Oryza sativa Japonica Group: one gene and its partner. The protein of the gene in region 1 interacts with the protein of each later gene in a pairwise test. Links are inferred from orthologs where the notes say so. Each region holds a gene or a part of one and is shown on either strand. Other genes may lie near its edges.

Region 1 (4,421 bases):
GAGCCTCCCTAATTTCACCACCATCATCTTTAATTTATATGCCTTATCTCGCCTCACCTATCCCCCCTGTATCTGGCAGCTCATGTGCCACACGTCTACTAGCCACTCCGATGAATCGTCTCCGTCTCCAACATCGACTCAACGCACTCCTCTATCCCCATGGCAATGTTGGGCTATAGTGGCACCGCTGGTGCATAGCTGCCCACCGCTTGCTAGCCACTCCGACGAATCACCTCTGTCTCCAACATTGATCCAACGCACTCCTCCAGCCCCATGGTATTGGTGGGTTCTGGCGGCACCGCTAGTGCATCGCCATCCACTGCTAGTCGTCCCTTAAATCCCCACCCCCTCCCCGAAATTCAATGGCTAATGTAATTGACTGATGTTTTTTACAATTAACTGCTGAACAACAAAGGTAAAAATTTAAACGCTATAAATCTTATATTGCTGGATGAAGGGAGCAATATATAATAATAAATAAATATGAGAAAATTCGATTGGTAGCATAGGTATTGTCCGAGTAAAATAATAGCACAAGAAACTTGTTTCTTCGCCTGAAAGCACAGCTCTGTTAGAGATTTCTAAAATTTAGCACTTCCGTCCACTAAAAAGACCAAAAAGAAAACCCTTAGGTCAATTTCTTCTTCCTCCTCCTTCCAGTCCCTCACTGCATACCTCTTCCCCTGTTCATCGCTTGCCTCTTGTCTCTTATGCATGACCGAGACACCACGCATAGGCAAGGTCCAATTTGTAAAATTTAAGTTTTTATCTTACATGTGTATGGTGGTTATTGAAGTTGAAATTGATTAGTTTTTAAGGAGTATATGGTCCTTGCAATTTTTGGTCATGCTCACATCTTCACCTAGCAATAAGCCCTAGCAGCCGTTGCAAGCAAGTCGGCCACTGCCAGCGTTGAGCTCGACGGCTTAAACAAGCTGCTAGCTACTCGTATTCCCTAACCCTCAGCCAGTCGCCATCTTCAAGCAACCACCAGCCATCGTTGTCAACAACATTGAAATAGCAGTTGCGGCGCATGGTCGCGCAAGCCTGCCGTCGTCGCTATTTTCATGGCGTGCGCAGCCTCTAGTCCAAGTGCTCTAGCGCAAGTGCCCAACCTAGTCATGTGTAAATGCAGAGAATAATATGGACAAATTGATCTTTCTCTGTCCCTACTCATGGCGAAAAACTTTGATTAGACCTGTAGTTGTGACGGAAATACAACGGATAAAATAAAAACAAGTGGAATATACTTCTGATCGAAGGTGGGAATTTTGTGTGCTATTTTTTGGATACCGACATGTTTTCTATGTTATAGATCGAATTTTCTCAATAAAAATATAATACAAGAGGAAGGGTAATGGACCAAGTATTGAGAAATAATTTTTCTAATAACATGAAAACTACCCATACGACGTATGTATCCTCGAGCTACAGATACGCTGGTCCTTGGAATTTTTTTTAAAAAAGAAATCCAAACATTTCAGTAAAATTCATCTAAAATTTCTTCCAAACACATCACTCCGGCGCCCCCTGATTTCTCCGTTCGCTCGCGCCGCCTTCCGCCGGAGTAAGCTCTCCGCCGCCGTGAACTCGCCGTTCTTCCCGCCGCCGTCCTCCTCCGCTTCCTCCTCCCCTACAGTGGACTGGCGTGGGGTGGAGATCCCCCCTATCCATCCCGACCGACTCCTTTCCCCCGGTGAGGAAGCCCTAGCTCGCTCCGAATCCGCTCTCCCAATCCTCTTCTTCGCGGTGAGGTAATCCAAACCCGAATTGCTCTGCGGTGAACAGGAATCCGGCGCCCTCGCTGGCGGCGGCGGCGGCGGAGTTGGAGGCGATGGACATCTACAATGTCGAGGCCGCCGAGATCCTCGCCAACGAGGCCCAGGTGAGCTCTCCCCCCTCCCCCCGATTCGCCTCGCTTCGCGACCGAGTTCACTTGAGCTGGGTTGCACTGACGAGCTCACCACGGTGTTGCGCGCTTGCGCTCCGCTCCGCTCCTTCCTTGTCTCCAGCTGCTCCCAATCGGCGAGGCCGCTCCCATCTACGAGAAGCTGCTGTCAACTTTCCCCACTGCCGTGAGTCCAGTTCGATTTCGACTCGATGTTTTGCTTGCTTTGGGGTTGCATCGTATATCTATATATAGGTTCGTCTGGTTCATCTAGTGATGCCATTTCACTTGGCTTCACCTGCTATATGTGTATGTGCAGGCGAAGTACTGGAAGCAGTATGTCGAAGCTTACATGTCCGCGAAGGATGATGAGGCCACCAAGCAGATATTCAGCAGATGCTTGCTCAGTTGCCTTCAGATTAATCTCTGGTGAGTGGAGGCCATATTTGGAGATTGTACATTAGGCACACGTTGTAGTATGCATATGTGGGATGTGTTGAATAAATTGCTTTACTGTCATTATGTGAATTATCATTGTTATCGCTGGTTGTGTCACTGAACTATATTCCTACCGTGATATGTGTGGTTTGGGATTGAACTTCTGTGTCAAATCATGCATGTAAATCATCAAATTCCTAAGCAGTCTCTGCTCATTTAACCTGATGGTCTCATTAGCCACTAGTTCCCTGTTATGTGATCTCATTTGTGATTGTCTGCCTTGTTTTTGTTGCTCTTAGTTTTGCCTATTCCCTTGGATCTAGTATTAGTATGTTTTCAAGTGCATCATTAACATTTCCCTATTTGTCTGGGTGTAATTTGCAGGCGTTGTTACATCAACTTTATCAGGAGAGTGAACGATAAAAGGGGTTCTGATGGTTTGGAAGAGACCAAAAAGGCTTTTGATTTCATGCTGAACTATGTTGGTAAGTAGGCACTTAATTATATCTAGTGCCTGGTGATGATGTGACTTCCTAAGTACATTTTTTTAACATAATTTTGCTAAAAAAAATATGGCGTCACATATTTGGCTTGATTTCAGTCACTTTTTTTTCACTGCATTATTGATAACTACCCTTTATATTACATGTAACTATACTTGTATTTCTCATCTCTCTTTCTTATTGACTTTTGTGTTTGTCCTTCTACTTATGTGTTAATTTGCACTAGTACCTTTTTCAATGATTCAAATAGATGATCAACCTTTTTCGTAGTTCTCTTATATAGGGAATGATAAAAATATAGAGTGTAAGATTTGAAAATTACACTGTAAATATATGAAAATTACATTGCAAGATATGGAATTTACAGTGTAAATACTGGCTGAAAGGTTTGACTGTTTTTTGGTGAAAAATGTGGTGCCATAAGTATAGATAATCCCTCTTTGTTTTTTCTTTAACTTGGACACTTAAACTTTCCAGGCAATGATGTTGCTTCTGGCCCTGTTTGGATGGATTATATTGCTTTCTTGAAGTCAATGCCGGTTTGTTTTCTTCCTTCTTGTTTCCTGTCCTTCCCCATGTTAACATTCATCCCTTCTATTATTCTGTGTAAATATTTCTTTGCATACTCTTCAGGTTGTGACACCGCAGGAAGAATCACATCGTATGACTACTGTACGGAAAGTATATCAGAAGGCAATTTTAGTTCCAACTAATCATGTGGAGCAGCTATGGAAGGATTATGAGAATTTTGAGAATTCTGTTAGCCGCACCTTGGTAATTGTAGTTTCCATTTGAATCTTTGATCTTTGTGAAAATTAGCTAGCAAACGACTCTAATCGCTGTCTGGTAAAACATATGGTGCTGTAGTTCTTCATGAACATGACACTTGCAGATTCAGTGCATCCTCATTGTATCAATAGTTCTAGTATTTCTGTTAGCAGGTTTCATCTTTTACTTTGTTTTCAAAATTAATATTATCAAATCTAAAACAATGTAACTGGGTTACATTTGATTCATATGGAGTTGTTGATTATCAATCTGTATTCCAGGCAAAAGGTTTGTTATCGGAGTATCAGCCAAAGTTTAACAGTGCCAAAGCAGTATATAGAGAGCGTAAGAAATACATTGATGATATTGATTGGAACATGCTGGCAGTTCCCCCCACAGGCTCCTACAAGGTAATCAGTAAGTGAGGTTCTAACATTGCTTTACACCAGGCATTGATCGAACCTACATATGTTAACTCCACAGTTTTTTTTTTTGGGGGGTGGGGGGGGGGGGTGGGGTGGGGGTGTCCTGCATACTTACTTTCCATGCGTTGGCTGTACTTTTGTAATCACATAAATTACAATTGGCATAAAATGTTATTCCTACTTTCTCGTTGTCGTTTGATGGTGGATGATTGAAAACAGAACAATGTGATTTTTGTAGAAAAACATGATAACAGAGGTTTTTCTTTGAGTACATTTTCATTCTCGAATTTTAATGATGCTTCTTTTCCAATTGCTGGCAGATTCTACATTTTCTTTAAACCATATAGCTGCTGAAGTTCTAATAACCAATGAACCCCTTTTTCTTAATTATCAGTTGCA
Region 2 (4,454 bases), on another chromosome or scaffold:
TTGACTAGCTGTCCCATGTTATTAGGATGGTCGTTAGTAACATTTCAGTAGGTTTACGCATTCCTTTTCTTAAATCATGTGCTGTGGATTCCATTGAGTTGTAAATTTGACTTTAGAAGGCATCATTAGGTGAGTTCAAGGCGTGTTCTGTCAGGGAGATTTGGGTTGGCAACGAGGAGGCACTGGTTGCATTATTGCCCGTTAGGTGTGAAATGTACTAGTAGAATTTTGGTGGTACGTTTTGTGTGCGCTTAATCAGTTACAAATTCTGAGTTCAACTGGATGTTGAGGGCTGTTCAGATTATAACTAAAATAAACTTTACTAAATTTTGACAATACCAAAATATGTCATATTGCCAAAATTTTGGCAGGATTTCTTATGTATTTAGTACAGTTTGGCAAAAAATTAAATAGATGCACATGTTTGTTAACTCTACCAAAAAATGATATGGTTTGAAATGGCATCAATCTAATTAAGCCCTAAAGTTAAACTTACCGTTGCTTTAGTGTTAGTTGTTGTAGTGGACAAGTGGTTTCCATCCTAATTTTGAAGGAAGTACACTAGATTATTTTCATAATATTAGGTATATACACGAGATTATAAGAAAACCCAAAAAGCAAAATAAAATTATTTTCACTCTCTAATCATCATATCATATATCATATTTGAGTATTTGACACAATCTTTCATATGTACATAGAATTACACGTTTGCTCGTACTGATGAGCAATTGTTATAAACTACTACTATTCACATTGAATTTGATTCATGAAGTGGATGCTGGCATCATGAACCCACATGAAACCAAGAGTATCTGGTTTGGTTGCCGCAACTTGTCACACCCAAGGTTCTGCGACCAGCATTTATGCCATGGGTGTTGTAGTGAAAACTACTCTCATGTACATGTAGCTATATTCAATAATTTTTATTTGAAAATAACAAGAAAGACAAACATGTATATTGGATACTACAATGATATCTTAAACAATTATTACTATTATTTTCATATTTTGGCTTGGCTTAGTTTAGCACTAACGGTGCCAATCTAGGGTGTGTTTAGTTCACACCAAAATTAGAAGTTTGGTTGAAATTGAAACAATGTGATGGAAAAGTTAGAAGTTTGTGTGTAGGAAAGTTTTGATGTGATGGAAAAGTTAGAAGTTTGAAAAAAAAGTTTGGAACTAAACTCGGCCCTAGGCAAGAAATTTTGGTACCAAGCAAACAAGCTAAGGCTTAAAAATTATGGCACAATTAGGTTTAAAAATTCGTCTCACAATTTATACGCAATCTGTGTAATTAGTTATTTTTTATATTTAATACTTCATACATGTGTCTATACATTCGATGTGATAGGTATAAAATTTTACCAGGAGATCTAAACAAGCCCTAACTTAAATTGACAAATTTAACTCCAAATTCGTTTTGTACCAATCCAAACAAACCTCTCTACCAAAAAAAAAACACTGATGATGACCAAATTTTACAAAGTTAATGGGCCAAACATGCCGCCAAATTAAATTCGCCTAAAATACCAATCAAAACTCTAGACACAGACACGGAAAAGGTCTTCTCCCCTTACTATAAACGACCACCACACCCCGCAAGCTGCACTCATATCCGAACGACGCCGGAAATAGCAAAAAAAAAAAGAAAAGAAAAAGAAAAAGAAAACTCGCCGCCGCCGCCGCGGCCGCGCCCCCACCTCGATCTCCCGCGTCGCCACCCCGAACGCCGCGCCGCCGATGCTGCCGCCCCGCCTCCGCCGCCCTGCCGCCGGCGACCTCTGCTGACGAGCATGGCCGCCGCGGCCCCCGCCGGCGCCCAGAACCGCTGCGTCTTCGGTACGGGCCCCCTACCCCCCGCTTCCCTCTCGCCGTCTTCGGCATGGTTCGATCCTGAGCTGAGCTCCGGGGAGGGAGCTCACGGTGTGCGTGGGGTGCGGAGTAGAGAGAGAGCAAAGGCGGCTCGGCTCCTTCCCGTCGATTTGGGCCTCGGCTGATTTCTAGCCTAGCCGCCTCGCTCTCCTCGATCCGTAGTGGGATTGTTCGTTCTTCGTTTGGGTGTGGGTCGATGAGAGTGAGGAGGAAAATGAAGCGCGTTTTGCTCGGTTGCGGTGCTAGATTTGGGGAGGGTTTAGTGTTTGACCAATTTGGTTTGGTCTAGGGTTTACTGCTCGTGCCCTTTCGATTGACGGATGCGTTTGTTGGTTGTTGAATTTTGGTTGCAGTCGGGAACATTCCTTACGATGCGACGGAGGAGCAGCTCGTGCAGATTTGCGAGGAAGTCGGCCCTGTGGTCTCATTCAGGTTTAATTGTACTGCACAAACCCTCAAAATTGTGTGTGTGTGGAATTGGTGTTTAGGATGGTTAGAGTTAAGCTAAATAGGTTCTGCAAATATTTGGATTTGATTCAGACAGACGTGTGTTGGATACTAAAGTTTTGCTAGTGTCTGTTTTTAAAAATAACTTCATGCCTTTTATTCTCCTTACATAATAAGGAGTTCAGGGGTCAGTGGTATCTGGTATGGACATAATGCTTGGCACACTTTTTTTTCTATGAAATAACATTATACCGTGCACATTTAAAAATAATCGCTAATTGAAGTTTAATGGCTGAACTACATGGTGCTACTAATATCGCTGATAACTCTGAACATAGGAATGTGCCAAGTTTCCTAGCAGCTGCAAGTGTTTTTTAATCTGGTAACACGTGGTAAGATAGTTTCGACTACTCATAAGCTCTTAAACATTTGGTGCTTTGCAGATTGGTTATTGATAAAGAAACAGGGAAGCCAAAGGGTTATGGGTTTTGTGAGTACAAGGATGAGGAGACTGCTCTAAGTGCACGCCGGAACCTTCAAGGTTATGAAATTAATGGCCGTCAGTTACGTGTTGATTTTGCTGAAAATGGGAGGAATGCTGACAGAAACAGAGAAAAGGTCGAAGATCCTCAGTTTCTTACTGTAGAAGAAACACATTTCTCAACTTCCAATTCCTATGTTAAGATGAGAGCTTGTATTGCTTTGGTTCCCATGAATGATAATAGTAGTGTTTTCTCCAACCACCATGTGTCGTATGTTTCACTTTTGTTTGCAGCATGTGTATGTATGTACAGCTGCCTGGCTGTACATACACACACCTGCTATATCTGCCAATTTATCTCGTGAAATTATCATTCTGGTATGGCGCATTATCTTTGGCATCTCCATTTATAAAAAAGAATATCTCTGTTGTCACATCTCCTTTTATTTATGGAATCCGTCTGCCAAAGGCTGTTTGTTGCCTAGCAAAACCATATATCATCATTGGAAGAGCTTCGCCAGAAGTGTTCTGAATAAATAGCAAAAGAAGAATAGTAGTCACTAGGAAAGATGCATCTGTAGTTTCACCTTATGCGATATACTTGAGCAAAAAGATGAAACTGCTAGTAGAATTGAGTGCTGAAACAGTACCCAATTGAATTTTTAGAACCATTTGATATGCAGGGAATTTCACAAAGAAATAATTCAATTTCCGCATGAACCAGGAAATTCCAAATGAGACCTTTATGTATGTGCAGAAGGGTTTACAGTTTCTTTTGGTTTTCTACTGCACTGGCACAAAAATATTCTTAATCTTCTGAGATGCTATCAACACCAGCCTTTGAATCCATCCCATACCAGTGACTAATGCTGATATAAGTGGACCAATCTTCTGTTGCCAAATGTCAATGAGCACACTAAGAAAATGTGCATCACAAGTTCGCAGCTGGATACAGTTGACTGATGTGTGACTTGAAAAATAGCGCAATTTATACATTGTTGTACATGTCAGTGTGGTTTTTTGTTCTAATTATCTGGAGATTATAATGCAGTGGTATTGTATGATATCACTATATGCAGAAAACTTTCAATATACTACTATAAACATTGTGTATTAGATATTAGCTAGCTTCAATACGGTAATGTAGTTAGTGCATGCTTTCAACAATGAATATTATTGATTTATAGGATTCTTGAGATCGATTTGGTTTTGCTAGAGATTCTATTGACTTATGCTGGATATGTTTGTGTATTTTCAGGGTCGTGGAGGACCTGGAATGGCATCCAGTGTTGGTTGGTATCATTTCCTTTATCACTCCCAAGTTTATGTGTATGCTTTACTATTTCTAATCTGCTGATTTTATGTTTGTGGATGCTAACACTGATCTATTGATGGAATCCTGCAGATACTCAGAAACAATTAGCTGGGACTCCGGTTGTAGGCGATACAGGTCTTCATCAGCCAGTTGGTCTTCCATCGGCTATTCATGCTGCATCTGTGATGGCTGGTATTCTTGGAGGATCTCAAACTGCAAATGTTCAAAATGGTTTACCTGTCCAGTATGGGCTTGGAAATGACCCTCTTACTCATTATTTGGCCAGAATGTCAAAGCACCAGTTGTATGAAATCATGTCTGAGTTGAAGGTTATCT

The links.
Region 2: the proteins of cleavage stimulation factor subunit 77 (region 1) and cleavage stimulating factor 64 interact in binary tests that used the Arabidopsis thaliana proteins (3 or more experiments, as listed by UniProt). The link is inferred for Oryza sativa Japonica Group from reciprocal best matches to the Arabidopsis thaliana genes CSTF77 and CSTF64.

What each region holds. Positions count from the first base shown.
Region 1 is NC_089046.1:24,234,017-24,238,437, forward strand, and holds the start of cleavage stimulation factor subunit 77, read left to right. Parts: upstream 1-1,508; 5' UTR 1,509-1,696; intron 1,697-1,788; 5' UTR 1,789-1,834; coding exon 1,835-1,885; intron 1,886-2,012; coding exon 2,013-2,075; intron 2,076-2,207; coding exon 2,208-2,317; intron 2,318-2,710; coding exon 2,711-2,811; intron 2,812-3,306; coding exon 3,307-3,368; intron 3,369-3,462; coding exon 3,463-3,603; intron 3,604-3,878; coding exon 3,879-4,007; intron 4,008-4,421. UniProt on the Arabidopsis thaliana protein: One of the multiple factors required for polyadenylation and 3'-end cleavage of pre-mRNAs. Required for the targeted 3' processing of antisense transcripts that triggers transcriptional silencing of the corresponding sense gene.
Region 2 is NC_089045.1:3,842,695-3,847,148, forward strand, and holds the start of cleavage stimulating factor 64, read left to right. Parts: upstream 1-1,610; 5' UTR 1,611-1,796; coding exon 1,797-1,842; intron 1,843-2,228; coding exon 2,229-2,307; intron 2,308-2,765; coding exon 2,766-2,940; intron 2,941-4,061; coding exon 4,062-4,095; intron 4,096-4,208; coding exon 4,209-4,447; intron 4,448-4,454.